4 linked regions of the Lepisosteus oculatus genome follow. The protein of the gene in region 3 binds, or shares a complex with, the protein of the main gene of each other region. Links are inferred from orthologs where the notes say so. Each region holds a gene or a part of one and is shown on either strand. Other genes may lie near its edges. The genes, in order: ppp4cb, ppp4r1, ppp4r2b and smek1.

Evidence for each region.
Region 1: ppp4r2b (region 3) and ppp4cb share a complex: the UniProt entries of both Homo sapiens proteins name them as parts of the PP4 complex. The link is inferred for Lepisosteus oculatus from reciprocal best matches to the Homo sapiens genes PPP4R2 and PPP4C.
Region 2: ppp4r2b (region 3) and ppp4r1 share a complex: the UniProt entries of both Homo sapiens proteins name them as parts of the PP4 complex. The link is inferred for Lepisosteus oculatus from reciprocal best matches to the Homo sapiens genes PPP4R2 and PPP4R1.
Region 4: ppp4r2b (region 3) and smek1 share a complex: the UniProt entries of both Homo sapiens proteins name them as parts of the PP4 complex. The link is inferred for Lepisosteus oculatus from reciprocal best matches to the Homo sapiens genes PPP4R2 and PPP4R3A.

What each region holds. Positions count from the first base shown.
Region 1 is NC_090699.1:2,940,884-2,949,057, forward strand, and holds the start of ppp4cb (serine/threonine-protein phosphatase 4 catalytic subunit B), read right to left. Parts: upstream 3,242-8,174; 5' UTR 2,642-3,241; intron 1-2,641. UniProt on the Homo sapiens protein: Protein phosphatase that is involved in many processes such as microtubule organization at centrosomes, maturation of spliceosomal snRNPs, apoptosis, DNA repair, tumor necrosis factor (TNF)-alpha signaling, activation of c-Jun N-terminal kinase MAPK8, regulation of histone acetylation, DNA damage checkpoint signaling, NF-kappa-B activation and cell migration.
Region 2 is NC_090701.1:56,539,248-56,547,347, forward strand, and holds the start of ppp4r1 (serine/threonine-protein phosphatase 4 regulatory subunit 1), read right to left. Parts: upstream 3,138-8,100; 5' UTR 2,924-3,137; coding exon 2,551-2,923; intron 1,637-2,550; coding exon 1,501-1,636; intron 1,045-1,500; coding exon 938-1,044; intron 1-937. UniProt on the Homo sapiens protein: Regulatory subunit of serine/threonine-protein phosphatase 4. May play a role in regulation of cell division in renal glomeruli. The PPP4C-PPP4R1 PP4 complex may play a role in dephosphorylation and regulation of HDAC3.
Region 3 is NC_090699.1:51,220,925-51,228,564, reverse strand, and holds the start of ppp4r2b (serine/threonine-protein phosphatase 4 regulatory subunit 2-B), read right to left. Parts: upstream 3,271-7,640; 5' UTR 3,155-3,270; coding exon 3,121-3,154; intron 2,592-3,120; coding exon 2,510-2,591; intron 1-2,509. UniProt on the Homo sapiens protein: Regulatory subunit of serine/threonine-protein phosphatase 4 (PP4). May regulate the activity of PPP4C at centrosomal microtubule organizing centers.
Region 4 is NC_090703.1:20,030,130-20,037,455, forward strand, and holds the start of smek1 (serine/threonine-protein phosphatase 4 regulatory subunit 3), read right to left. Parts: upstream 3,248-7,326; 5' UTR 2,482-3,247; coding exon 2,340-2,481; intron 256-2,339; coding exon 200-255; intron 1-199. UniProt on the Homo sapiens protein: Regulatory subunit of serine/threonine-protein phosphatase 4. May regulate the activity of PPP4C at centrosomal microtubule organizing centers.

The sequences.
Region 1 (8,174 bases), about 48 Mb from region 3:
TGAGGGGCTCTCCAGACACACAGACCTCAGCAGGAGAGCAGGGGCTCCTCACAGGTAGAGGAGACCAGTCCCTGTGCTGTGAGAGGCTCTCCAGCCACACTGACCCCAGCAGGAGGGGCAGCAAGAGAGCAGGGGCTCCTCATAGGTAGAGGAGACCAGTCCCTGCCCTGTGAGGGGCTCTCCAGACACACAGACCCCAGCAGGAGAGCAGGGGCTCCTCACAGGTAGAGGAGACCAGTCCCTGCGCTGTGAGGGGCTCTCCAGACACACAGACCCCAGCAGGAGAGCAGGGGCTCCTCACAGGTAGAGGAGACCAGTCCCTGCGCTGTGAGGGGCTCTCCACACACACACAGACCCCAGCAGGAGAGCAGGGGCTCCTCACAGGTAGAGGAGACCAGTCCCTGCGCTGTGAGGGGCTCTCCAGACACACAGACCCCAGCAGGAGAGCAGGGGCTCCTCACAGGTAGAGGAGATCAGTCCCTGCGCTGTGAGGGGCTCTCCAGACACACAGACCCCAGCAGGAGAGCAGGGGCTCCTCACAGGTAGAGGCCAGTCCCTGCGCTGTGAGGGGCTCTCCAGACACACAGACCCCAGCAGGAGAGCAGGGGCTCCTCACAGGTAGAGGAGATCAGTCCCTGCGCTGTGAGGGGCTCTCCAGACACACAGACCCCAGCAGGAGAGCAGGGGCTCCTCACAGGTAGAGGAGACCAGTCCCTGCGCTGTGAGGGGCTCTCCAGACACACAGACCCCAACAGGAGAGCAGGGGCTCCTCACAGGTAGAGGAGACCAGTCCCTGCGCTGTGAGGGGCTCTCCAGACACACAGACCCCAGCAGGAGAGCAGGGGCTCCTCACAGGTAGAGGAGACCAGTCCCTGTGCTGTGAGGGGCTCTCCAGACACACAGACCCCAGCAGGAGAGCAGGGGCTCCTCACAGGTAGAGACCAGTCCCTGCGCTGTGAGAGGCTCTCCAGACACACAGACCCCAGCAGGAGAGCAGGGGCTCCTCACAGGTAGAGGAGATCAGTCCCTGCGCTGTGAGGGGCTCTCCAGACACACAGACCCCAGCAGGAGAGCAGGGGCTCCTCACAGGTAGAGGAGACCAGTCCCTGTGCTGTGAGGGGCTCTCCAGACACACAGACCCCAGCAGGAGAGCAGGGGCTCCTCACAGTTAGAGGAGACCAGTCCCTGCGCTGTGAGAGGCTCTCCAGACACACAGACCCCAGCAGGAGAGCAGGGGCTCCTCACAGGTAGAGGAGATCAGTCCCTGCGCTGTGAGGGGCTCTCCAGACACACAGACCCCAGCAGGAGAGCAGGGGCTCCTCACAGGTAGAGGAGACCAGTCCCTGCACTGAGAGGGGCTCTCCAGACACACAGACCCCAGCAGGAGAGCAGGGGCTCCTCACAGGTAGAGACCAGTCCCTGCGCTGTGAGGGGCTCTCCAGACACACAGACCCCAGCAGGAGAGCAGGGGCTCCTCACAGGTAGAGGAGACCAGTCCCTGCGCTGTGAGGGGCTCTCCAGACACACAGACCCCAGCAGGAGAGCAGGGGCTCCTCACAGGTAGAGGAGACCAGTCCCTGCGCTGTGAGGGGCTCTCCAGACACACAGACCCCAGCAGGAGAGCAGGGGCTCCTCACAGGTAGAGGAGACCAGTCCCTGCGCCGTGAGGGGCTCTCCAGACACACAGACCCCAGCAGGAGAGCAGGGGCTCCTCACAGGTAGAGGAGACCAGTCCCTGCGCTGTGAGGGGCTCTCCAGACACACAGACCCCAGCAGGAGAGCAGGGGCTCCTCACAGGTAGAGGAGACCAGTCCCTGCGCTGTGAGGGGCTCTCCAGACACACAGACCCCAGAAACACTGAACACTCACTAGGAATGGGTGAGACTTGTGGGTGAGTGAATGGGTGAGACCCAGGAAGACGGGCCGCAGGAACTTTGTTTACTTTGTCCCGGCTGGAGAAATCTGCTCTGCAGGGCAGGCGAGTCAAGACGACGGATCAACACAGCCCCAGTCCCCGACCACTGCACGGCAGATCCCCCGTCACACACCCTGCTGCCCGGCTCCTCTCTCTCTCGTCGGAACCACCGACGTTTGTCCAGAAAACGGAACTTGCGGTGCAGGACAGTCCCTGAATCCTTATAATCGCCCCCATCTCCCTGGACCAGTACCGGTACCGGCCCGCCCGTCCACCCCCCGGTAAACAACACCGCGTCTCACAGACAGCCGGGCGGCAGCGGCTCGTCCGGGTTCGGCTGCAGGTCCAGTCTCGGCCCGGTCCAGTCCCGGCGGCGGGACACACACACACACGTACACGCGCGCGTTCCCGCGCTCTCCCGCCCCGGGGCTCCGCGAGCCGGGCGGCCTCACGGCGCCATCTTGGAGCGACTCCGCTCGGCCTCCTCGCCGCCTCCGCCCGGCCTGTCCCCCCGCCGGGGCCCGGCTCGCCGCCGCGGCCCGGCCGGGGGCCCAGGGCGCTCCGCTCCGCTCCAGCAGCGGCCCTCCAGCCCGGCGGCCCGGCCCGGCCCGGGAGCGGGGAGCGACTCGACCCCCCCCGGGCCCGGCGCCTCCGCCGCCGCCGCCAGCCCCCCCAATACACACAAACCGGCTCAGAAACCCCTCGGCCCCCGGGGAGCGGCCTTACCTCGGCGTCCAGGGGCCGGCAGGGCAGCAGCAGCAGCAGCACCGATAGCAGCGGACTCGTCTCTGTCCGGGAGTCGGGAGGCCGGTCGTGCGCAGATCCGCGTCTGTCTCCCCGCTGCGCTCGGCCGGCTGGAGCTCCGCTTCCTCTCCGCCCTCGGGGACGCGCGGCGGCGGCGGCGGCGGCGCGCACGCAGGGCTTCCGGTGTCGGGAGCGAGGCTCGCTCCCGGGCACGGGCACTCGTCCGGGGACGCGCAAGAGCAGGGATTATTGGCGGCGGCGGCCGACGGGCTGTGGTTTCAGCGGCTCCTCCGCCTCCTCCCTCTTATATGCGCTCTGGTCCTCGACGCCACCGCCGGCAGCCCCCCGGCTCCTGTTGAAATTGCTAACAGCCCGCAGCAGCGCTGGTTAGGGAACGAGGTCGCTCATTCGAGGTTCAGGGGTTCGGGCCTGAAGCGCCACCTGAACCCCATTCCTTAATAAGTCACGGAGCACGCAGGAAAATCGAGGTTTTTTTTTTTGTTTTGCTTAAGAAAAGCCAGGGGTGTTCATCCTTACAGCCCTGTTAGTATTAACTAGTTAGCCCTTCTTCCATTTTGGTAAAAATTAAAAACAACAACAACAACAACAATAACACGTTAAAAAAAAAGTTTTTTCTCCCCGCTCTTGCTCGCACGGGCGAGAACAACCACAAGATGGCGCCGGAGCGCCAACCTCAAGGCGCGAGCCCCGTGCCGGGCAGGGGGCAGGAAATGACGCAACAAGGGCGGTGGAGGGGGGGGGGACGCCCGCCGCGGCTGGGATGACGTCAGCCCGCCCGAAAGGCGCCGGAGCTGAGCCTCAGCCCCTCTGCAGGCGAGGAGGCGGTGCTGACACCCCTGGGGTACAGAGTGGGGTACAAACTGGAGGGGTCTCCTCTCTCTGCAGGCGAGGAGGCGGTGCTGACACCCCTGGGGTACAGAGTGGGGTACAAACTGGAGGGGTCTCCTCTCTCTGCAGGCGAGGAGGCGGTGCTGACACCCCTGGGGTACAGAGTGGGGTACAAACTGGAGCGAGGGGGGTCTGTCAAGGGAGAGGCTGGACAGATGGACACACACTCCCCTGCGGGCCAGCAGGCACAAAGCCCTTTGCTGGTGCTGGCGCAGAAAGAACGAGCCTGGCAGGTGATCAACTGCTCGTTCCACACTCCCACCACTCTCTGTGCAAGGACAGGCTCAGTGACCACAGCCTGGACACACACACACTGGACACAGGCAGACCTGGCTGTCCAGAGAGGACAGGCTCAGAGACACAGCCTGGACACACACACTGGACACAGGCAGACCTGGCTGTCCAGAGAGGACAGGCTCAGAGACACAGCCTGGACACACACACACTGGACACAGGCAGACCTGGCTGTCCAGAGAGGACAGGCTCAGAGACACAGCCTGGACACACACACTGGACACAGGCAGACCTGGCTGTCCAGAGAGGACGGGCTCAGTGACACAGCCTGGACACACACACTGGACACAGGCAGACCTGGCTGTCCAGAGAGGACGGGCTCAGTGACACAGCCTGGACACACACACTGGACACAGGCAGACCTGGCTGTCCAGAGAGGACAGGCTCAGAGACACAGCCTGGACACACACACTGGACACAGGCAGACCTGGCTGCCCAGAGAGGACAGGCTCAGTGACCACAGCCTGGACACACACACTGGACACAGGCAGACCTGACTGTCCAGAGAGGACAGGCTCAGAGACCACAGCCTGGACACACACACTGGACACAGGCAGACCTGGCTGTCCAGAGAGGACAGGCTCAGAGACACAGCCTGGACACACACACTGGACACAGGCAGACCTGGCTGCCCAGAGAGGACAGGCTCAGAGACACAGCCTGGACACAGGCAGACCTGGCTGTCCAGAGAGGACAGGCTCAGAGACACAGCCTGGAAATACACACTGGACACAGGCAGACCTGGCTGTCCAGAGAGGAAATAATAATCAACAACATCAACATCATCACTTTATTAACCCTTCACAATTTCTTGCATTAGGAATGATCTTTTCACATACCCCAGCTTGCTCTCCATGAGACACACAGACAGAGAGAGAGCCTGGGGTCAGAGCGCAGGGTCAGCCATTGTACAGTGCCCCTGGAGCAGTTGGGGTGAAGGGCCTCGCTCAGGAGCCTAACAGAGTAGGATTCCTCTGCCGGCTACAGGATTTTGTTGTAACAGAAGAAATAAGGTTCTTGATCCCGAGATGAAGTGAAACAGATGAGTTTATTGCATGCAAGGAACAATAAAGCCGAAGTCTTGTTTCCCGCAAGAAACAACAAAACCGAAGTATTGTTCTCCGTATTGTTACAAACTTTTGGGTTATATAGTGTCTTCTTCTCCGTTTCTGACGTCACTCGGTCTGATGGTAAAGAGGGGGGTTCATGGTATTTGGCCAGTTTACGATGTTCTGGGCAAATGGTCAGTTTAACATTACACCCAGGGGGGTTCCTAGCTGGCATCTGCACTCCTTATCAGTGAACCCCCTTTCCTGCCATAAACCCCAGCTTGTGACTTGGAAGTCTAAACCCCCTACAGAAAAGATTAAATTCAAACCCCCGTCTTCACATCTTTCTTCATTCCCCCCTTATAAAATATGGCATACGTCAGTGTAGCCTATTTTATACATACAATGTCAGGGCAGATCTTTCCTTTCTTGGCGAACAGGTATGTATTGCCATGACATTGTACGTTCCACGGTTATGGCAAGATGTGATACATGTTTTTGTGCACGTGATGATTACAATTATACATATAAACAATACTACTCCTACAGATAAACACTATAAAAAGGTTCCACCCCAGGCCCCAAACACAGACTTTACCCAAAACCCAATTCCCCAATTTTCAGTATAATAGTCCTGATATTTCTGTCCCTCATTGTAAATGTGTTGGGCCAGATCTGAGATGTGCTCAGAATTATCAGGAATATATGTGCAGCATTCAGTGCCAATTACTGCACAAGTTCCTCCTTGGGCCGCCAGTACATAATCTAAAGCTAGTCGGTTCTGCATGGCCACTGTTCTGAGGGCTACCATCTCATCATTAACAGCCTTCAGACTAGATGAGGTAGACTTTGCTAATTCTTCTAAAGTCGAGGCCATTTGAATTAACTCTCGACTCAGAAAGTTCATGCCGGCTTGTGGAAATATTATACCTAAATAATATTCCCAATCAGCCAATTTTCTTTGTGGTCTGTGGTTAGGTCCGAAGGGGCTGTGGGTTTGAACACGGATATGAGGAACCACATATCCTAAATAACATGAGCCAGACCACTGGGCTGGCAGCCATGGGTAGGCTCGTTTTCCACAAATGAAATATGTTCCGTTTGGCGCTCCCCATGCCTCTGAAAATAAGAAGCTTATACCGAATTGTGGGGTGTGCCGATCCCATCCTGGAATTTGGGAGGTAGAGGTGGATATATTTGCAGCGCTGGTAAGGTTGCAACGACTCCATCCAACCAAGTGCAGACCAATTAGTGTGCTGAAAACATATGTTTCCCTCACGTTCCTTATTGAGAGTCAGGTATGGTGGTGTATGGCTTCTGTTATATTTAGGAGCGTAAGAGCCTGTGAAACTCGTGGGCTCTAAGCCTCGCTCCTGTAGATACTGTAATGTTGTGCAGGTTAAAGTCGTGTTATGGCAACCCCCATAGTTTGTCATATTAAAATCTCCTAAATTATCCCTCCAAATGATCATGCCTATGACTTCCTCGCGACGCCAAGTAATGGCTCCCATAGGAAGTCCTCCCTGTACATATTTGGGTAATGCGGCACACACCCAGCAGGCACTTTGGTTGGTTTTCTTAGCTGTCAGATAGGAGAGGCCTAAAAAGGAATTAATTCCATGTTCTCCTTTGTGGGAGAGATGATCATGAATCCCTGCGGAACATAGTCCTACAGCAACAATTATTGTTATAAACAGAAATGATTTCATTCTGAGTCTGTAAATGGGGATGAGGCTCGTCGGCAGTGTGGCGCGTGGATCCAGCGATCTTTTCCTTCCACTCGAACCGCAGACTCGGTTGTCAACAGGATCTGGATCCCACCTGGGCTGGAGAACCTGTGAAGGAAATTTCCTGATCCACACCCACTCTCCTGGGATGAGCTTGTGCCCTCCTTCAGGTGGTGGTCCCCACGCCTCCAGGACCTGCTCGCGGGCTCCTTGGGTGGCCTCTGTCAGCTACTTGCAATAATACAAAGGAATGGTTGATCCCTCTGAGGAAACCCCAGTCTCAGCACCTGTAAGAGAACTTGTTTCAAATTATTAAAGGCGGCTTTTGCTGCAGGAACCAAGGCAATCTTGTCCTTGTACTGCACTCCCCCCTTAAGCAGATCTGTTAAGAGTTGTGCTCACCCTGCAAAAAACATATTACCCAGGCCCTGTTAAAATTTCACAATGCTAGACACAAAAGGGCCTTATCATAACTGCTTCTATTAGACACTCTAAAGCTGAAGCAACTCAGACTTGTGGGTTTCCTCGTCAGGGGAAGCACTCAGAATACCATCAACATACTGAGTGATCACAGCCAGTTGAAGCCACGTGATACCCTGTTCTGCATAGTCATTCTTTGTAATGCATAATATTTCAACCCAATAGATCTGGGATCAAACCACCCATTAAAATCTGGTACTCGGCAAGTAAAACTTGCTGTCCCAATACTCCTGTGGCCTCCTGCCATCTTCCCATATACATTGCTCTATAGTACACTGTTGAACAGAGGAGTGAAACAAGCAGGACAGTAGTGCTCCAGTATCCCCTAACAGAGAAACCAACACTCCATTAACAGTACATTTTTATTCACTGGACTGGGACAGACTTAGGGAGGCTACAAGGGATTTACAGGATCTAATCGTTAGGTAAACAGATTTTCTCACAAGACGTTATTCTCCCCAGTCTCGATTCTAAACCTACAGCGTTTCAGCATGTCTGGTTTCGAGACATTCGAATAAAACCAAATTGTTTCCACTATTGCAACTAATTGTATAAATTACAATTTATAATAATTTATAATAATACAAAAACTGTTTAACTACTTTTACGTCCACCTGTACTGTACTTATACGTTTCAGACGCTCTTATATTTTCCAATCTCCTTAAGTTGATTTTCGTCAAGTCTCTTTAGTTACGTCTCTAGCCAGTCCCGCTGGCTAAACACACTCACACCGTCATTTAGTAGACCAAAACTCACAGTTACACACATACATGCCGGCACACAAATTCATAAAACACACATACACATCGAGAATATATTTTTCTCTTCGTAATACAATGTGCTGTATTCTTGTTTTACTTTTACATGAATCCTTTTAATTCCTGAAGCGCACTCCAGGTTCGCTGCATTTCTAATTTCGGGTGCGGTACTTTAGCCCACCGGTCAATATCTTACGGTTTTGGATTTGATCGTATGGGGGAAATCAGGGAAGGTAGGTGCGATTGCAGACCCCCTCGACGGGGTGCGAGACAGTGTTAGAGTGGCGCTGTCATCAA
Region 2 (8,100 bases), on a different chromosome or scaffold from region 3:
TCTTGAGCTTTACCAGAGGCCTAAGGATCTTTGTCAGGTATATATCTGGCCTGCATTATTTACCATGCAATGGCAACCATATTCAGTTATAAACCTATCTGTGATCTTCATTTTCGTGCAAGCGTGAATATGCAACCAAAACAACTGAAGATAAACAAAGACAGAGAGGCTTCAATACATTTCTGCACTGCAGACCAACGTTTTGCACAGCTGTTGTAAATACAGTGTGAATTGCTTGCTAGAGCAAAGATCAAAAAGTCACTGGGATTCTCAGCAGAAGCTGTTTTAAAACTAGTTCATTTTTAACCCTCATGCATGTCGTGGGCACCACGAGACAACCTAAAATAGAAACGATCTTAACCTTTTGGAACCGTGCAAATAATACGAGCTTGCATCCATGTGGAAGAACTGCACTGCTACAACAGTGGATCCTTTAATCCACTCAAATGTGTCAAACAGCAGGGGGCCCAAAACTGGATTAATTAAGAGGTCTAGTATTTCACTGCCCTTGGCCTTTTAATCAAGTGAACGTTACCTACACTTCAGAATCTTAGCTTGTGAGCAGCACCACACCAGTAAACCAGCAGGATTATAGACACTACTTAACTGCTACAGACCACTGAATCAGGAAACCACACTACTCAAGGGTATTTAGAATTTATTAATTAAGAAAAGGATTAACAACCACTCAATATACAAAAAAGTTTAACCGCCATGAAACTAATCTCACATGTATAGCCCCATTATAAGCAATTCTAAATTAACCACATCATGAGATTAAAATGCAAAGTTGTAAGAATCACAACAAGTGGGCGACACATGGGAGTGAGCCCCAGGACAAGCACAGTAGAGAAGAGAGGACCGAGTGAACCAAGGTGATCTATTACTGCTCGGACTCCCTTTGCCAAGTTGAAGGCGGAGAAGAGTCGGGGCCTACCTGAATCCTCTGCCAGCCGGCTCACTCTCTCCAGCACAGCGATGCAGTCCCGTTCATCCTCGCTGACTGCCTTCAAAGTGTCCAGCAAACTTCGGGCCACCATTTGTCTGGAGAAACCGAAAATGATACATCATACCAACTGGTTCCAGTCGGCCGACAGCTCAGGCCACTACACCAGCACAAGCGCAGCAGCACCACGGTGTCCAGGGGCTTCGGTGGCTCTGTTCTTTCACCCTCTCTCTCTAGCACAGCAGTACGCTGGGATCTCCAGGGGACCTGTCTTGACTTCACGTTGAAACAATACACAGCGAAAATCATACATGCAAAGAATGAAAAGGAGCAAGACTGATTAGATTTGCAAGTTGCAAAGGTGGGAAAAAATATGTAAAAAGCCCAGAGGTTTGCCTGGACATCAGACAACAGGGAATGGACAAGTTTCCAAAACACAATAAATTAAATACGATTCAGCAACAGTCTGAGGGAACAGAATGAGGCAGCACTAATCATATTTTAATTCAAAGTCGCAGGCTAAAAAGAAAAACGTTTTCTGGCCTCTGGCATACCTGTTAAAAATGTTTTCGCTTGCAACGTATTTATCCAGTCTTCCTAAAGGTGTCAGCATCTCATCTTGAGAAACAAAGTCCAGGGCTGAAGGTATAATAATGACATCAGACTCTGAGCTGTAGTCATCCACACCAACTATCAGAAACATTGGAAATACGGGCTTACAATCATAAAGCAGGCAAACATTTATCAGAAAATCAATGATTCTTACATCAGTGAAGCTTGTTTCTTGTATGCATAGAAGCTTTAACTATATACAAAAGAAACTTCAAACAAAACCAAAATACTTCAGAGCCATGATGTTATGCTTATATAAAGTGCCTGGATTAACAAGGAGAAAACTGTTAATGGAAGATTTACTAAAGGAACCCGTTACAGTTGCTGGCAGCAGCAGCACAGTTTTCCAACAACTTTAACTTCCATCGTAACATCCTTTTCAACTGCAACAGTTAAGGTGCAAGTTCTTTAGTAACTGGTGAGGGCGAATCTAGTCTCCATGATACTTCAAAAGACAGAAGCCTGCTCCAGATGTGTTTTTTATTATTCTTTTACCGATGTATCTAAAAGGAGAGTACGTTGCACAACTTACTTTAACTTTCATCAATAGGTAAGTAGATGCTAAACAAAGGAAAACTTTACATCCAATGCACGAAACCTGGCGGTGAAGAGGTTAAATACTTCCATGTATGGATCGAAACAAAACAGCCGTGAGGAGGGGCGTGTTTTGTTTGTGAAGCCTGCTCAGTTCGACAGTACCGATGGACGACGGATTACAACATCCCTGCCAGGGTGCAACACACTCCCCCTTCGCTACCACCACAATTGAACTTCAACCACCAGCACTTCTTCGGGCACCACTGGCGAACCCACACACACACACACAAAAAAAAGAAACTCGTCACACACGAGAAGCCAGCAATTCACTCGTGAAGTGCAACAGCCACTTTTCCCGACCCCGGTGGCAACGTCTCGCTGCTGAACACAAGACGCGAAGCCCGCAGGTCCGACTCTCAGCTGCGAGGGGTTTGCAATCGCCCTGCAAAACACACCGACACGCCGCTGCCCTGCGGTGCGCTGTCCGCCGCCCTTCGGCCCGGCTGCTGGTACCGTCGTGACTTTTGCGATGAAGGAGAGTCCACATGGACCGCCGGCTGCGTCGTCCCTTTTCAGTCTGGGGCTACAGTTTCTCCTCCCCGGCGAGACTCCTCTTCGCCAGAAATCCCTCCTCGCCTTGCAAACACACTTCCAGGGTGGCTGTTTTTCATACGTTTTCTGTCCCCTCCACGTCTCTTTGGGGGGGCGACAAACCCTCGCAGCCGCCGGCTTGAACCCGTGTCCCCCTTCCTTGCTTGCCCGCTCTCTTTCTTCAGGAAACCCAAATAAAATGGGTAACACGCGTCTCCACCCCCCGAAAAAAAACATGCCCCACCGGGGCAGCCCAAAACGAGACGCTCCAAAAACTTTTTTTTTTTTGCTTTGCTTTTGTATTTGTAAAAGAAGGGCTGGTTTCCGGATGCTAACTCCCTAGGCCCCGCAGACCAGCCGGGAGCTCCTCCAACAACACACCACCGTGTATCATCATCATCATCATCACCACCACCGCCGCACTCGGTCGCGGCGAGAAAGTTACGGGGAGAGGAAATTAAAAAAAAAAACAGCACTCTCTTTCTCTCCCTCTCTCTTGCACAACACACACACACACACGGAAACTTACATCCGTCTATCTCCTCCTGCGAATCTCCCTGGAGCAAGGACAAATCTGCGAAAGAGAAGACGAGAGAGAGAGGGAGGTCAGCCGCCGGCCCGGCAGCCCCCTCCGCCCGGCGAGCACGGCTCCAGAAACGGGGCAGCGACGGCAGGAGAGACCGCCGCTGGCGGGACGGCGAGGGTCTAAAAAAGAGGGGGTTTAGGGGGGGCCAGGCTCGAAAGGGGAGCCGGAGCGGTACGTACCCGCCATCTTGTCCTGGTGCTACATTTAAAGTGGCCTCGGTAGCTGAGGCAACAACCGGAGAAGCAGGCGGCGAGGGGAAAGAGGAGAGCGGCGCAGCCCGAGAGAGAGAGATGGGTGGACGGAGGGCTTTCAGCGGCGCGGCGGAAAGCACGGCGCCCTCTGGCGGGCGGCCGCGGGAGCAGCGCGGCGCTCGCTGGGTCTCCGGCATGGGAGACGGATGGGGCGGCCAAGTCTTTTCTGATCACAGCGCCAATACAGAACATGAAGAGAAAAAAATATATATATTCGACTGAACAAAGCCATGGAGACAATTTTACGAAAATGAGTCCATTCACCCAATCCAAACAATAAACAAGAATGTGCATAAAACCGTTGTAAACTTTTATAGCACCCAAGTACAGAACCGCAACATTTATACCTCAAACATTTTGCTTCCCTGCTATGTCCTTCACAGTCTGTTTAGTAGAAGTCCAGCCTTTCATTTAGTGTCAAAGGGGGATTTTATTTTCCCAATTTTTGGAACAGTTTTAATCCTGGATCTTCTCTTTCCTAAATTTGCGCTTTGTTTCTTCTCTAGCAGAGTCATGACTTGTTTCTGTATCACCTCGTTCAGAAGCAATATCACCCGGCAGCTCACCGCTGGCAGCCCCACTGGAACTCAGCAGGTGTGAGCCTGGCCAGTACCTGGATTGGAGACTCCATGGGAAAGCTGAGGCTGCTGCTGGAAGAGGTGTTAGTGGGGCCAGCAGGGGGCGCTCTCCTTGCTGTCTATGTGGGTCCTAATGCCCCAGTATAGTGACGGGGACCACATTGTCGACCCCATGATTTCCTGTTTTGAATATGGTTAGAAAAAGTCCTGAAACAAATACATTCATATACTGTACATATAAAAATGTACTGTATAAATTCCCTATGTAGCTTAATGACAAACACATCTTTAATAAACATACGTTTATGATAATTTGACACTCAGAAACTTTTATATTCCTGGGAAAGCGAAGGCAGCTGCTGGAAGAGGTGTTAGTGGGGCCAGTAGGGGGCGCTCACCCTGCGGTCTGTGTGGATCCTAATGCCCCAGTATAGAGGCGGGGACACTATGCTGTAAAAAGACGCCGTCCTTCGGATGAGATGTAAAACCGAGGTCCTGACTCAATTCAATTCAAGGTACTTTATTAGCATGACCGATGGCTCTCTGTGGTCATTAAAAATCCCAGGGCGTTTCTTGAAAAGAGAAGGAGTGTAACCCTGGCGTCCGGGCCGAATTTCCCATTGGCCCTTACCAATCATGGCCTCCTAATAGATAATAGATAGATACTTTGCTGATCCTGTGAGGGAAATTGCAGAAAAGCATCGCCCGAACAGGGACTTGAACCCTGGACCCTCAGATTAAAAGTCTGATGCTCTACCGACTGAGCTATCCGGGCTCTTACACGCGTGAGCTATGAACTGGTTTCATCGCTCTGCTCTCCTCCCCACTGGGAGCTAGTGCGTGTTAAGCGTACTAGTGCATCATCCAAGTGGGGCTGCACACTGGTGAGGGTGGAGGGGATCCCCATGACCTGTAAAGAGCTCTGAGTGGAGTGTCCAGAAAAGCGCTATATAAGTGTAAGCAATTATTATTATTATTATTATTATTATTATTATTATTATTATTATTATTTTTATTACTTTGTGCTGTTTCAGCACCGAAAACATAAACCCCTTTCACTGCATCATCCCCAATTAACAATTTGCCTTTTGACAATTGAAATGCGCATGTGGCAAAAGGGGAAAAAAAAACTCCTTCGACGCCTGTGCGAAGACAGTACTGGCGTTCACTGACAGTACTGACAGTACTGGCGCTCACAGCCCGTTCTCACGTATGGAATTACGCACAATCTGCCCCCCCCTCGTTGTCCGGCTGAAACACCGTCTCTTAAATATTAAAATGCAAGTCCGCTGTTGGCACATGACATATTCAGCAACACGCCTTCCTTTCCGTGCAAAAAAAAGTTACGCTGATAGCTTAAGTAGGGTTTCACAATGGTTACAAGCGAGAGGGAGTCACGTTTTGCGAAGGAAGCCAGGGGTACTAGCTTTAACAACACGGCCGACTCGCTTGTTCCAGACTCCCACAACCCTTCGTGCAGAAGAAAGTGGCTCGTGTGCCCGGGTTTTAAGTACCCTTCCACAAAGTCTACACTTGTATCCTTTAACCCTCGTTTCATGGTTTATTCATGGTGTAGGCCGCTGGGTTGGTTTTAATCGGCGACTTGCAGGATTTAGAATACTTGCATCAGATCCCCTTGAAGTCTGCCGTGTTCGAGACGAAAAAAAAAGTTTAGTTCCTTCAGGGGAAGGATATTGTCAGTCAGTGTAGGACATTATTTTTAAGTCCAGGTATGTCGTTTCCTTTTTTTTCTGGACTGATTCCAGAGCCGAGGATATCTCTTTTTAAAATATGGTGAGCAGAACTGTGCACAATGCTCTCGGTAAGAGCTTACTGGTACCTCATACAGTTTTAACATAGCAGCACTCGATTTAAATTCTGAGCTGAAAACTGCATCAGAATGTTCTGTTTGCTTTTTAAATTTCCTTGCCTCAGTGTTTGAAAGCGAGCATTTCGTATAGTACCGATAAGCCGGAGTCAGTATTGTCTGGATAAAAGGGGAAAAAAGAGAGCGCATTTTACAGCTCACATTTCTCTTCTCGACGCCCCGTTGCAAATTGGCTCTTGAAACCCAGGTAATACGGCTCCCTCTTGTGGCAAATGAGTACATTTTCAAAATGCACGGAGCTAAACTGGCACTACACGGATTCCTGAAAGGGCCCTACATTCTCACCTCTTATCTGAATCTGTACGGCATTCGGTTGAGAAATGCAGGACTTAAGATACTCAATACATCTAGCCCATACCCTCTGTCACAGAGTATTTGTCTTTTTTTCACAGGCCGTATTGGAGGAGACGTCTCCAAGTCACAAAGAAATGGGGAGATGAGTCAGTCGTCACTGCAGAGTGACACAGCTCTCAGCTGATCAGTACCGAGAGCTCAGTGCTGTACATAATCCACTCATCGCCAGGAAGTCCAGGCTTTAGGTGGGTCTGTGGCGTCACTATGTCAGAGATACTGCCAGTGTTGCTCTCCAATATGCTGTGCGTAGTGGTTACAATTCAAACGCGAGCAGGGCTCTAGGCTGTATTCAGAACGAATACTGTGGGGTTCTTGGGCATAATAATTCTCTGAATCAGATTGAACTGTAATGACATGCTGGCTACTGGGTGAGAATTGTCCGTATCCTTCCAATTTTTGTTTCTTATCATTCATTATCTTCCTTAGAAGGAGGATTTTTATTTTTAATTTTTATAGCAGCATATATAACGCCTTCAGAAAGTCTTCACATCCCTTGGATTTTATAAATACATTTATATGGGATTTTTTCTTTGTGTGTCACTGACCCACGCAAGTTACTCTATAATGTCATATAATGGAGCGAACTTTATGGAAATGTGTTGCACAGAATTTGAAAGAAAACACTGAAATGTCTTGATTAAGTATTCACCCCCTTGGCTGTGGCTACCAGGTGCATCTCATTTCCTTGTGAGATCCCGGAAACGTGAATGGATCCCACCTGTGAGCTCAGTCTGCTGACCGTGCCTGTCCATTGACAGCAGTGCAGGAGGTACTGTCTTTGCCATGGTCTGACAAAGGTGGCTCAGTGGTCAGCACTGCTGACGTGCAGCCCTGGGGGGCTGTCTGCGTGGAGTTTGTATGTTCTCCCCGTGTTTGCGTGGGTCTCCTCCAGGTGCTCTGGTCCAAAAACATGCTGGTCAGTGAATTAGCTTCTGGGAAAACTGTCCCTGGGGCAAGTGTGTGTGTGTCTATATGTGCTCTGTGATGGGCTGGCGTCCTGTCCAGGGTGTGTGTGTGCCCTGTGATGGGCTGGTGTCCTGTCCAGGGTGTACCCTGCCTTGCGCCCTTTGCTGGCTGGGATAGAGTCCAACTTCTCCACAAACTGGATGAAGCAGGTGCTGGAAGTTGTGGAAGCTGTGACATGTAGGGGCAGTCCACCCTGAAGCTTCAGGATATGTTGTCCAGGTCAGGCAATTGTACACTAGCTCACAGCCGAGTAGTGATGTAGAATTGAACAGACTTGATCCGCACAACTTTATTTAGAGGTGAATCTGTGCTCTGAGCTCATTTAAAGGTTGAGTCGATCAGCAGCAGCACGCGATCGACTTCTTTTCTTTTTATGGTACTCCCGTTTTTGAAACGCTGGACATTTTGTTTTTATTTTCAGGAATCAAAATGAGGCGATTAAAAAAAATGAGTCAGCCTGGCAGTATAAGTACACAGGCGAGCCCCAACATGGACTTACAGTGAGCTCTATCAAAGAGAATAAGTTTGAGTCAGCTTCGGAAAAATGTGCTCCAACATTCAAATGTTCATACCTGCAGTATCGATTGACCTCTCATTTAAAGGACACGTTACTTCATAGAAAACACGACCTCAAAGCCTGTGTGGTAAAACATGTGGTCTGAAAAGACCTTAGAAAAGACCTTGCTCTCTCTCACTTGAAATAAGGGCCCACCACACCGAGCTGAGCTGCAAAAACTCACACGTCAACAATTTCACGCACTAGTCCATTGTGAACGTTTCTTTTAAGAATA
Region 3 (7,640 bases):
GCATGCATTGTAGTTTTAACTACATTTTCATCACATGCAAATACCTGTTTTTGACCCATGAACAGTACTGTTACAGTATTTTTGGTGGAAAACCATTCTGTTCTCCATTTGTGTCAAAAAGTGTTGGGCTGAAAGCCTCGGTCTCAGATAAAAAGTTCTATAAACACAAGCTGAAAATTGTTCTAAACATTACAAGTGCAAAAATCATAGCGTTTAGAACATTCTGTTTCCACTATGAACATTTATCAAGATGGCCTGCATTCTAAACCAAAGGCAGGACCTTCCAATTACATGCAATGTAATCCTCAGAATAATCCTAGTGTATTTTTTTTTACATCTGTACAGTCAGAAAATGTTTTTTGCAACACACTTGGATGAACCAAACATCGTTGTATTAGACAATAAAATCCAGGACAGTTCTGTGTATTTTGACTTGCTATTCATTCTGAGACAAACTTCTTGTTTATGAACAAGATTTTTATAAGAGTGAAATCTTGAAAATCATCAAAACACATGGAATTATATATTAAGGAATGTATAATTGCAAACAAAATAACATGTGTAAAGTGTGCTATATAATTAACTCTCCACAAAGACTTGCAAAACAAAACGGTCAATGTCTAACAAAAACTGCCATTTGCATTTCTTTAAAAAGGACTGCCAGATTTCTGCTTATTATATTGTTTTACCTATATGGATATACATCTACAGTCCACTATGTAAGCAGCTCACTTTACTGCTACGCTGCTACTTATATCAACCTAACTGAAAGGCCTATAATTAGGCCTATACAGTTTAATTTAAAAAAAGGCATTACACTAGTTTTGTTCACTATAACGCATTCATCCTAATATGAGGACTAAAATGGTCTGAAAACTTGATCAAAGGTACAATAATAAGTTAATATAAATCTTGAGTTAATTTGCTTAAGTGTGACTTAAGTCTACTTTAAAGAACTACAGCATACTAAACTAGTTTTAACTATTTAATAAGGCATAATTTACAAATGTAGATAACGAGAAGCATCTAAAATGCTTTAAATATTCACACGAATTAGTTGAGATGCAATTAACAGCAATCTAAGGCCTGGTTTTGAATTTTATTCAAAAGTATTCAGAAAACACAATATGCTACTTTTGCAATCTTAATCATAAAATTCACTATGCCTTACATAACAAATAAACCAGGGTCACCAACACAAAATTTATATTTATTTCCCTTTACTTACAGTTGTTTAATAATTACACATGGACATGGCTTAGTGTAAATCATCAGTGACTTAGTAACAGCACTACAATCTGCTTAAATATTTTGCAGAAACTTATTTCACCGATTAATAAACAAATTTCAAATTTGACCCAATTAAAATGTCTAAAGTGACAGCTCATATGCCCCAGTTCAGCTGTTGTAAAGTTTACAACCAGATTGTTAAATAACACTGAACAGATCACCGATCCACCTCAGCTTCGTAAACGGGCCAAAAAAAATATAGAAAATCTAAAATTCCAGTTTTGTAAAGCCAAGTTTATTTTCACTTCCAATTTCAATTTCAGGAATTAAGAAAACACTTTGGGCATGATGATAGATTAAGGGGTGTTTTAAGGGAAAATGTATATTTAAATCCCTTGTTAAGCACAATATCAAGTGTATTAGCCATACTAGCTTCTTGATGAAAGAGCAAAAAATGTCCTATATATTTGTTCAAATCTAGGAAGGAGGGGCATCAATGAAATAAGAGGAACAAAAGTGCACACACAATGCAAAGGTCACAGTCAGTGCAACACCGTGACTTAAACCAAAACACTACCATAAAATACAAAAAAGGTCAGCTTGGTGCAATGTGTAATATTGCAGAGTGTAAGGAGTTGTTTTTCACTTGGAAAGTGCTCTAAATAAAGACTGCATTAAGACGTGCATTAAAAACTTGTTTCCAACACATATTTTCATATATTCTACATATTGCAATACATCACTGCAAGCAATAAAATATTCTCTCCTTCAGGTGAGAAATTAAACAATGCTAGGATTCCTCCATCTAAATGAAGCACGGAAACTTAAATCGAAGGGCACTGATCAATATCTTTATCCAAAGACTGTAACAAAACTACACTTGAATCAGCATTTCTCCCACCTACTACGGATCAGATACAAAATTAAACGACTATTGTGCCATATATTGTTTAATTTCTAACTGCTCACATAACTACACATCTGCTTTTATACGGTCCTGTTTTGCTAACAGGTGTTTAAAACCAGAGGTTCCCCTGATCCCTTTAGAAGTATATAGCGGTGTTCTCAGCAGGCTGTCCTCTTCAAAGACTAATTTGATCAGATATTTCGGATACAAAGTAAGCCAGCAGTAGTCTAGGTTACTACAGACATGAGACATGTATATCCAAACTGCAGTTCTCTCGATCCCCGTTGGGGAGACAGTCGTTACCATGTCTGTTACTCTACTCCTGAGACACATTAGGCCTCTTGCGTGCGGTTCGTCAGTAAATATACTTACATGGTCTCCCCAGTCTTTGCGACATGACATAGAAACTGGTCCAGCGTCGGACACACATCCTTCTTGCCTTTCTTCTCAAAATCTACACATAAAGACAGATAAAGGGGGAAAAGTAAGAGCCACATCAGTTGGGTCCCACACAGCCTAGGTGTCTGTTAACCGTATGCTGCAAGGAAAGTTACAGCCACTGACAGGAACTAGCAAAATAAAACTCCACATCAGGATCAGCTGTCTGCAGGAAATTCTCAAACTTTCCCGGCGCAACATGAAGAAAAACACACGATTAAAGTTAAAATGTTTGAATTTGAGCATGTAGTTTTACAACAGCTACAAACGTTGGTTACCGGCTTGGGGTTAAAAGTGCACATTATAACACAACTAGACTACACCAAAACGATTCAAAACACTTCCCTGAGAGAAGACTATTGTTTTAAAGTGTATAATAAGGTATCCAAATAGCCCTTAGTTAAATTTATTCTAAAATTGCACACACAACAACAGCCACATTCAACACCTTACTACTCTTCAATCCTAATCCCGTTCCGACCACTTCTATTCACACTTTTTCGAATGCCGGAACGAAAAAGACAGTAACGTCTACGTTTCACAACCTTTCAGGGCCTCCAGAAGTGTGTCGATTTCCATGATTGTGGCGTGAAATGTTTGAAGCTCTTCACTCCGTCTCTTTCTCCTCCTGAATCCAACAGGAAACAGAAAGCTGGCAAGCAGCGTCCGAGACAAAAAATCAGCACTTCAATATGGCGCCCGTGTCGTCACTGCCTGCCTGCACACACACTGAGCATGTGCGAACTGCCAGGCGGCGCTCATCCTACCTCGTTTCACTACTGTACTACTGGAAACACCATTAAACCCGGGCAGCTGGTTCCAGCCAGTCGCGGAGAGACCCATCAATAACTGCTTCTCAGGGGATTGCGACTTCTCTGAAGTTTGCTAGGTTCTTCTTTTGCAGCCGTGTAGTCAATAGCTTTAAGGTAGCCTTTTTGCTTAAAGATTTTCTATTACTATACTGTCGTTGTTGTATTTGGAAGACATTATCCAAGACAACGTGCAGCACGAAAATCTTTAACAGAACAACTTCTTGAATCATTAAATTTCAAGAGAAAATAATTTTAATTCGTTTTTTTCTGAATAGATATTTTTCTAAATATTTTCTAAATATGTATTCACTAGTGCCATTTTCAATGTAATTGCTTTTAATAAGCTATGTCTATAAAACAAGTCACTGTACAATAAAAAAAATAGAAACTGCAGTATTGAAGTAGTGTTGTAGAGTTACAACAGAGTGACAGTTCTGTAAGCCTGCAGTTATTTACACTACAGCATTACTGCATTTAGTACTACCTTAATTGTACTGCATCAAATGTAGGAGGCTTATTACTGTTTCCAAAAGGCTACATTGTAATTGCAATATTAATATTGCTAAATGTGTATCATTTGAGAAGTGTGCAATACTGAGACGTGGGCTTGATAAGGTTACTTTATGTGAACATGTACAAGATAGGATGAGGTGCATCTATAGTATGTAGAACTGAAGACTTTGCTGCACCCCCAAGGAAGACTGCTAGGGGCACCCCTGCACATGCTTATTGTAGTTTAAGGGAGGCTTTTATAATTGTGCACCTCTTTTCTACTTACTACTTTTGTGCCATTAAGTGCTTTATCTATTTTTTAATTTCACACAGGAGGCACTGCTGTACTTTAAGCTACCATGGACATTTTGCTTTTCTGCTGTATAAACTAATCCCATCATTGTAATACATTTTTAGAAGGCTCATAGCACTACCAACTCGACTGACTCACAGTTTTTCAGATGATTTGTCTTTATGAATTTTCACTTTTGGTGATACTTACCTAGAAACTATTGCAGTCAAGCCCCGTCTACTGTACCATACATTGATAGTAAGCATGCTACTGTAAAGTAGCATCTATTTGCTGTTCTCTTGAACAGCTGTTCATTCACCTCCCCACATGAATTATTGCTGAGTTGAAATTTTTCAGTCAGTGACTTAGGTTAACCATTGACAACTACAAGCAGAGTGGGCCATTTTTATTGCATTGTGTTCTGTATGTTGCTAGTGTTTCAGCAGTCAATGAGTTATAGGACTATACCCTGTCTTAAATTTGATGTCAATAGACAGAATGTAATAATCGGATATTTTATGTTGTATATTTCTAGTTAATGTAGGAGGGTTAGGAGAGAACTTTGTATTCACTTTGACATTATAGTGTATTTTGTGTAAATCTGTGGCAAAAATCCCAATAAAATACATTATGATATTAATATTTAAAATATTTTAGATGTAAAGCCAACAGAAAAAGCCTGTATTTCAAATGTTTTTTTTGTTTGTTTCTGTGTTACTTGTAGGTGGGGATGAGAAGTATGTTTCATATTTCTCTTCAGTACCATTTACTTTGACAAAGTATTAACTCTTATTAAGTGGAGCCAGTCAAGCACTTTGGAAATAAATGTCAGCAAAACAAAAGAATTAGTGCTACACCAATTTGTAATTAGGCAGATTTGAGCCAGCCACACTTCAGCCTATAAATATAAATTGTCAGCTTGTGGACATTCTTCCTTTTAAGTATCTGGGTACATACAGTACACTGATAACAAACTAAAATTCTTAGACAACACAGAGCATGGTTTTTTTAAAAAAAACCCATGCAGAGATTATTTCTCTTGAGAAGGTTGAGGAGCTTTGATGAAAGCAAGCACATCCAAAGATAGTCTATACAAGTCTGGGAGGGAATGTGCTCTCTTTTAACATCTCTACTTGGTATGGGATTCTTGGTACCAGGTGTACAGCTAGGCACTGAAGGATTATAAATATGAGCAGCAAAAGTATTGTTCAGAAATGGAACCAGATGAACCACTTGTATACAAAGAGTGTTTGCAGGAAAAGTAAATGATGCCTCACACCCACTACACTCTTGGTTTGAAAAACTACCATCTGGTCAACAGTTTAGAATCCTGAAGGCTACAAAAACACATTTTTAAGAACTCATTTGCTCAGAGTGTCATTACTCTTTTAAACTCTGATGTATGAGCTCCTTCAGAGCACAGTATTTACAGTATATTTATATGTATGGACAAATTTGAATCTTATATGTTTTTTATTGTATTGTTGTTTATGTGGGATTTATTGTATACAACTCCAGTGCATTAGATGTTTTATGTTTTCTGCATTTGTTGTCTCAGTGAGGTCAATAGAAAAATCCCACTCTGTGTGGACAATAAACTAAATTCTGATACTGATATACAAAAAGATGATTTCCATCCACTGAAAAAAGCAACAGTGCTCAGTACTTTGCAATTTTTTTAAATTCTTGCAACTAACACAAAATATTGAGGTAAAAGAAAATTAAAGTTGCTGAAAAAATAAACAACACTTACAGTTCTTAATTTAATATAAATACTCCAAAATACCTTTTATTATACAAAATCAGAGCCTCCTGGAAGAAGTGGATTAAACCCTTCCCAAGTCACAAAATAAACTTCTATGATAATATTAGGGAGCAGTAGTGTATCAGGCAAATGTCTGGATTGTGGGTCTCACTACTGTTTTAAATTGAGTGAGGTACTTTACCCCTAATTGCACCACCCCACTGTATAAGTGGACACCATCATTGCTGGGGTAATCTCACACCCCAGGGGGATCCTGCTTTCTAGTCTGCTAAGTTTTGGCCAGATAAATTAATGTGGCTTGGATATGGAAATTACCTGCCTATAATAGTTTTATCTGCAATCCACTAAAATTTGCTTTATTTTGGAAAATAAAAGTATCAAAGGGAAGCAGAGTGGCACAGCGCCGGGGTTGTGGGTTCAATTCCTGGGTTGCTATCTGTGTGGAGTTTGCTCCCCCAGAGTTGCATGGGTTTCCTCCAGGTGCTCCGGTTTCCTCCCACAGTCCAAAAACATACTGGTAGATCATTCAGCTTCTGGGAAAATTGGCCCTGAAAATTTGTGTGCTTCTTTCTACCGTGCAATGGACTGATGTCCTGTCCAGGGTGTACTCTGCCTTGTGCCCATTCCTTGCCGTGATAGGGTTCAGCTTCCCTCGCAATCCTGAACTGGAAGAAACAGTTAAAAACTGGACAGATGAATGGAAGTCTAAAAGACAAATAGTATGCAAAGTTTAGTAGAACTTGCATACAGAAATACTCCTGAAATGTGTTTAGATGAGGACCAATACTTCATTCACATTCACTGATACTGCCTGTTCAAACTGAAATATTCAACCTAAAACAGGCACAGATTTTTGAGCAATACTTCTTTTGGACCACTTTAAGGATTATACTAAGGATTTTTCCAGAGCCAACCTCCGTGACATTGAAACACAGGGACCACCAGATTGGTGAGAGGAGAGGGAAGGCCAGCTGGCCCTCTTGCTCACTTGGTTAGTAGTTGTTAATTGACCGCAAGATCTCATCCAAGCATTTCTTGAAACAGCTGATAGAGACAGTTTTAACAATATGGCTAGGCATCCTGTTCCAGACACACACGTCAGGAAACTGGGTTCTGTACAAGACACAGATGTTTTGGTATATCTTGTCCATACATCCATATGTGAATGGCTTGCTAAACGTATAAGAATTTGTATTGCAAATAAAACATAGCGACACAGTATGTCCTTGTGAAAAAATTAATAGCTGAATGAATGGATGACATGTTTAACAAGGCCTCATAAGTAACTGTGTGTGACCACAAAGCAGAACTGATCTCTTGGTATGTTTCCTGGTTGTGTGCCAGCTGCCAGTTCTGTGCACTCTGCTGTTGAGGGATGGCACACAAACAAGGAAAAGCCAACAGTACTTTCACATCTCTGAAAGCCTTACAATAAAAACACAGAACGCACCTTGCAAATGAAATATTACAATGAATAAAAAGGAATGAAGAAGGGTTTTTTTGCTTTTCTTTTTAAACCACATGACCCATGTAAATCTGTAAGGACTGTGGACCACTGATTTTTCATTTATGTTCTTTAACATCTGTAACTCCGTGCTAGACTGAGAAATAAGTCACTGTACTATACTTTTTTCAAAAGTTGAATACATTTCATTTATAACAAGACAAGAAGGAAGCAGACCACATAATGCAATGTTTCATTCT
Region 4 (7,326 bases), on a different chromosome or scaffold from region 3:
ACTTTGCTTAAATTTAGTACACAATACAAAAAATTGAAAATATTACAAATATCATTGAAATCATACAAAGCATATTCATTTAAATTTAAAACCAAATTAATAAACTACAATACATTTAATATGCATTTTCTTTAAGGCGTCAACACTTAAAATCTAAAGAACCGAGACTTTAAAAAGTTACACTTTCAAAGAAACTTACCTGCTGCTTCTGGTAAGCAGTGTTAGGGTTTATTTTTGACTCCAACAAAAGAGAACCTGCAAAAAAAAGCAACATTACATAATGTGTTCACTGGTACCCAATAAAGAGTAAAATGAAAGAATTCAGTGCAATTTATTAACTCAATGTCGATATCTTTATCCCTTTGCCATGCGTAAATCACAGAGTGCTTCCAATTTCATCTTGACACAGGGCCCTGCAGTTGGCCATGTCCTCAGTCCAAGAACAGGGGTAGGAAACTGGCACAGCATAAGAATGCAGTCTATGTCACACCTGTCTCAGCTACTCTTCAGCACTTTTAACAATGAATGGCCTATAGATAGGAATTGCAGATCATGTCTTTGATGTAAACAAAACTTGTTTTCTAATGTATCAAAGCATAAACTGAATACAGAAAAGTTAAAAATATTTCCTTTGTCACTCGTGCAAACATTTTAGTTTTCCGAAATACTGGGAAAAGTGCACACAATTCAATCACCAGTCTCCATGAGCTTGTTACCCATTGGTGGCAAACATTTTCATGCCATCAAAATCATCTCAATACTTTTAAAATTAATGTTACAAAATGAATTACTTCTGATTTCAGAAAAGCAACCACTCCATTCAACAAAGGGTGAGGTATATTCACTCCTTGCCTACCAAAATTAAATTTAAGTAACACCTGCAATGTTCCACTTGTGTTGATGAAATGGAACCCCAAATGCAGTTTTAAAATTAAGGAATAACCTATTAAAAATGAGAAAAAACACAAGAGACGGCCCAAGGTGTCATGGCATTTTACATTACACAATTAACCAGATTCCTTGAAAAGACTGGAGCATTAGTGCCACATAAGGTTGTTCTTTTTCAACTTTAGGACTTGGAAGAGCAAATAATAAAAAATACTGTACAAGTTAAAAAAATCTAAGGCCGATCTTTTAATTTGTTAACAATTAAAGACTGCAAACTGTACTATTAAATGTACAAATTGTTCTAGCACATTTTAGCTGTGCTGCCATTTGTAATACATAAAAACTAAAATCGCATGCTCTAATTGTAGACACAATGACAGACAACCTTAGGCAGTACTACAATTCATCCTGCACGAATATAAGAAGCTTTGATAAGACGATTAGAAGAATCTGAAATCAGTACCTCTGGATGTAACTCAATAGCTTAAGAACAAAAAAACAACGTCTAGAATGTCAAAATGATCAGTAAAGAACGAGAAACTGATGAAAAGTTATTATTCCGGTCCAACTGGTATGGCGCTCGGACGAGTTGGTGCAACTCCTTCAACTTCCAACAGGTTACAGGCTGAACAAGCTGCAGGAGCGCAGCAGGACGAGCAGCCGAGCAGCGGACTGAAAACAAGCACTTTCAAGCAGCACGTTTAGAGGATTTTTTTTAATCTAACGTTGCGTTTTCGATACTGTTACCGAAGATCCAACACTGCACGTTCAATAAGAGACTGTCTACATTATAAGAGCTGCAGGCACAACTCTTCAGGACAATACAAACATGATTCAGTATTTATGAGGCTCTCGGACCTCGTTCTGTCAATACCTGGACACAATAGATGATGCATTCAAATACAAGTCTGAAATAAATGATTGGTTTTGTGCAAATCCTTGTATCTTTACTCAAACCTGGAAATCAGAATCTATGACGCCTTTGTTGTGCAATCACACGTTAATAAGGAGATGAAAGGTGTAATTTTGTACTTGTGTACGTAGGGGTGGACAACTATAGAGGGCATTAAGTACGGCAATCGCACTAAATAGCAGGACACTGGAAACTCAATGATCCTCGGCATGCACCCCCATTATCTGCAAGGCTGCATCTAGTGATCGAACCCTAACCCTGCTAAAACAATACAAAGACATACATGTTGTGCGGCTTTCGCCCAGCGTTACATCCCCCTGATTTGTAGAGCTGTCTCGGTTAAGACCTCGAAAGCACAAATCAAATCACTGCTTACTAAGGGAAAAGCCAGGCGACGTGTTTACACAAGTATCCGCGCAACTTTCAGGCACCAGCGGCGCTTAAAACCAGATCGAAACTTTACCCAGGTCTGCAAGCGAGCACTAAAACCTGTTAACAGAACCTTACTTTGGGGGGGGGGCAGCTACTGGCCACTTACCGTCACTCTCGGCCCGCACTAGCAAGGACATGCCTTTCAATCTCTCCACGTAGCCGGAGGACACATGCCCGGTGCCCCGGTCGTCCCACTGCCGATCTTCGTTAAGGGTGTAAACCTTCACTCGTCGCCGAGTGTCCGTCATTCTGCTAACCCACCCCGCTGTTCACACCCGAAAACACGCTTCGTCGTCCACCCCAGAGGCGTCGGACCCTCGGTCTCCGATCCTTAGCCCGGCCCGTCAGGGCGATCAGACGGCTAGCCTACTACAGCGCACACTCGCCCAGCTCGGGAGGGCGGCCTTGCTACCGAGGGCTTCAGGACGCTTTCGCCATTTTACCTCAAGTTGCGCAACCCTGTAAAACACTGCCCTTCCCGCTGCACAAGAGAAAGAGAAAGCGAGATATAACCCCGGCTGCACAAGGAGGCCACCAACGAAATTCGGCAGAAGGAGAGGGAAAGAAAATGTTCAGAGCACGACTGGAGAATCGGTGTTGTCGACAGCCCTTATCTGCGCGTATTTCTCATTCTTGGAAACAATGAACGCTTCATACAGAACCGCATGCGAGATCGACTGCATTATTTCCGCGAAAGGACGTGTCCGGATCTTTAATTTTAAAGGCAGCCGGCTGTTTTTATATTTATTTTCTATTATTTATACCCCTTCCCTAGCGTTCCGCCATGTTCTGTCCTCGGGCCGCGGAGAGAGACTAGCCTCTCCCCACAATTCTGAACACATTTAAAAATTAAATAAATTCAACCGGAATATTACTTGAACTCCCTTTATACGGAACCCCCCACGCACGACTACAGTTTCTCTTTAATTCCCAGTTTTATTTTATAATTACAGTTCCCTCAATCAGAACTCCGCCATCTTGGGTCCCCTCAGAGTGCCAGCACGGGGTCTCCAGCCCAGCGGCAGCAGGGGCAGCCCGCCACTATTTAAAGGAACAGCGCTTTCAATCGCACCTTTCAGACTCTCCATGTTCGGGTTACCAACTACTTTGACATCTAAAAATCAGTAAGGGCTTGTAATATCGGAGCCAGATAAGACTTTTTTTCCCAAGAAGTAACTGTAATTTACAGAATATTACACTGATGTCAACAAAGCCCCCAAATATTTGTATTTTAGGAGCTTGCAGGACAGATAAACCCATGAATGCCAATTAATTTTTTAGCTGTATGTACATCTGATTTAGACGTGTGCAAACAGTAAACAACAGATATAACATGTAGGTGTGGTAAAATATAAATCAAATCAATAAAATGACAATTAAGGTGGAAGTGAAAATCAAAAACTGTAGGAACTGAAACAATGTGAAACATGTACCGGTAGTCCGGATACAAAGATGAAGTCCCCCTGTTTGACTACCTATTCCAGGTTTAGAAGCAAGTACATTTTGTAAATTACATGACTAGTTTCAGAATAAAACATTAGTGGCCTACAGAAAAACAGTGGCTGCAGGATGTAGCCGAGAGCCCCAGGTGCTTCTCGAGCAGGTGCAAGGGGCTTGTGGTTTCTGTGGCTAAGGGGAGAGGTTAGAGAAGGAACGGGCTCTGGGGTTGGGGTTGGAGGGAGCAGGGGGAAATGGGACTGAAGATTTTCAGTAGCAGAGTGGCCCGAGCCAGAAATCAGACACGAGTGTGGTTTTGAATCCTCTATGTGCAGAAAAATAGAGTCTGCGGAAGGACTGGTCTCATCTCACTAGATTTTCATTTTCTATAATTCAGTATAATGCCCGTGTGCCCTGTTTATCGACCCAAGACTCGTATCTCCTCTCCAACCAGACATTTAAGAATTTTAAGTTATCTTACTGTTGCTGTGCTCATTTAATAGGTTTATTTTTAACAACTAGGCCTCAGACGTTCCTTATAGGATCCCATCACAAAGAAGAACCTGCTTCCCAAGCAGTTATATTACCCTGCAACTCTCAACTGCCAACACACTGGTGACCCTGGTCAGTACCTGGATAGGAGACCTAGGAAAGTTAAGGTTGCTGCTGGAAAAGATTGGGGCCAGTTGGGGGACGCTCACCCTATGGTCTGTGTGGGTCCTAATGCCCCAGTATAGTGATGGGGATGTAAAACCGGGGTCCTGTCTCTCTGTGGCCATTAAAAATCCCCGGGTGATTCTCAAAAAAGAGTAAGGATGTTGTCCCGGCGTCCTGGCCAAATTTCCCTTTGGCCTTTTTTGTAATAATTCCCTCCTAATAATCCCCATCTATAAACTGGCTTCATCACTCTGTTCTCCTCCCCACTTGATAGCTGATGTGTGGTGAGCGTACTGGTGCACTATGGCTGCTGTTGCATCATCCAGGTGGGGCTGCACATTGGTGGTGGTGGAGGGGAGTCCCCATTACCTGTAAAGTGCTTTGAGTGGAGTGTCCAGAAAAGCGCTATATAAGAGTAAGGAAACATTAACATGTTGTGAAGCTGTCTGACTTACTGTTGTTTTTATGGCAAGTTTGTGTCTTCAGCTTTTATTTTGATACACTAAAAATAGTTGTGTTTTTTTTAAATAGCAGATAATGCTTTACATAAAGCATACATTCAGCTGCTTTTGTTTTGAGCATCACGGTGGCACAGTGGTCAGTATAGCTGTCTCACAGCGCTGGGCCCCTGGCTTCAATTTTTGGGGTGCTACCTCCATGGAGTTTGAATGTTTCCCCTGTGTTTGTGTGGGCGTCCCCCTACAGTCCAAGAACATACCGATTGGGTAACTGGCTTCTGAGAAGACTGGCCCTGGCATGAATGTGTGCCCTGTGATGGACTGGCATCCCATTCATGGTGGCTCTTGCCTAGCACGCGCTGCTTGCCGGTTCAGGCTCCAGCTGTCCTTAGGGCCTGTACTGGAAAAAGCAGTTAGATGGACTGGATGCTTTTGTTTTAAAGGGTGAAAAGCTAAATAAGTTTGCGTTGAGTCATCCACACAGCTGCCCAATAAGCAGTGCTCTAATCATTCCAAGGTGGATTTTTTGGGGGAGGGAGAAGACGTTCAGACCCTTACACTGCTTTGATACCAGTCGGTAGGTTGTAATTGAGTTTAAAGCTGTATTGCGTTCTGCCATCTGAAAGCCTTAACAAAAATGGTCATGATTTCCCAGCATGCTAATGTTGATTAAGACAATTAAAACATCACAAAAAAATGGAAAATTCCATTTGTTGAAAGATCATAAACAACAGTGGTATTTATCACAAAGTCTATTTTGTATCTGACAATTTCAAGGTGAAGAAAAAGTACTAAGGTTTTTAAATTAAAATAAATGGAGCCCACAAACCACAACCTAGACAGTTAAACTAAGAAATTATTACATCAGCCCAGTACAGTAAAACACCCAAGCAGTATTCTGTTTTTGAAACCAGCAGAGATATTTTTTTTGGTCTCCATGGCAGCAAACTGTGATATGTAAACAGAATGTACTTTGCAGTGTGGAACTAAGTAAACCATTAATTGTATAGTGAATGAGGACAGCACAGTCACAACAAACAAAAGTCCACTGCAGCTGAAAGAAAGAGCTGGAACGGTTTCTATGTGAAACAAACAGCTAACATAAACAATGTCAGCAGGCATGCAGTACTTGTGTTGTTGCATAAAGATTCAATCTAAACTGAGAATTTAGAGGGCCCAATCTCTTTTTGCATCTTTAATGAAGTCAAAAAAGAGCCTTTGTTGTCTGCACTATGGAGACACAGGGATCACCGAAACGGCCACATGACTGGCCATGCGATGGAAAACAAAACTACCATCATGATCAACGATATTATCATCATTATCAATAATAATAATACTATTATTTTGTGCCTTCCAGTCTCTACTATGGAAGTTAACAAGAAAACAAAGTGTTTTTAGCACAGGAGCAGTCACAATCCTTATTTAGTGAAGTACCTTTTGAAAGCGCGAGAATTACAAAGGAAAATTACAAACAGTGCAATAATACAGAGCAGTGACAACCAACATAAAGAAGAAGGATCCACATCCGAAACGTTGTTTCCCGTCCTCTCTTTTCAGCATGTTACTTTCAATTCCCGCTGTATATAAAAAGGTTATGCATTTATAAAAATAATGATTCATTCTTCTAAGCTGTTACAATCTAGGGGACACTCACATTCATGGGGCACTTTCAGTGAAAACATACTTCATTGGCCGCAAGAAATCTGAAAGCTATAGTGCAGGCTGGAGAGGAGAGGTGTGTCTTCAGTTCAGTTTTTAAGGACGGAGGCCAAGTGCCAGTGCTCCCAGAGAGGGGTGCAGCCTCCTCACAATGAGAACCTCCCTAGTGTAGTACTTCAGTTAGTCACCCCTGAAATAAAACACAACTGGCAATCCTACTCAGCAAAGGCACTTATTCATACCCTCCCCGCCTTCTTCAGACTCCTTGTGATACTAGAGTGCATTGCTCTGTCTGACTAAAAGACTGTTCTTTTTTTTGCTGCCACGCAATCACAAATGTCAAAAACTGTTTCGTCAATTATATTGTTCTTTGTTTCCCTGTAAAGCCACATTTCTCACGCCGATTCATCTGAACTCTAAGCCCCAGTTTGATGAGGCACATGGTGACAGAGCAGGTCGCACTGGTGTCTGAAATGCTCTCGGGTTTGGGGTCAAACTTGCTTCTTGTATTCAAGGAATGGGCGATGCGCTGTCACAACTTTAACCCAGAATTAGCAGATATCTGAGAGTGAAATGATGAGTTATTGGTTTCATAAGGTTATAAAACCAACCAGATGACAAAGGTGGACTTGTTTAGTTAGTAAGCTGACAGTACTGATTATGAATTCCAATTATTTCCTCTTATTCTTTGTCAACATCCCAAACTTTTATGCTTAACAACAATAGCATTGCCTTATGGTTGTAGCACAAATGGTATCTTTTACTAAATATTACCTAATAACTCTTTATTCTCCTGTTAGCTGTTTTAAGCTGCATAGACAAGGAATGATGAATCAAGTATTTCTAACTTTTTCACAAACAAAATTACAAAAGTAATGT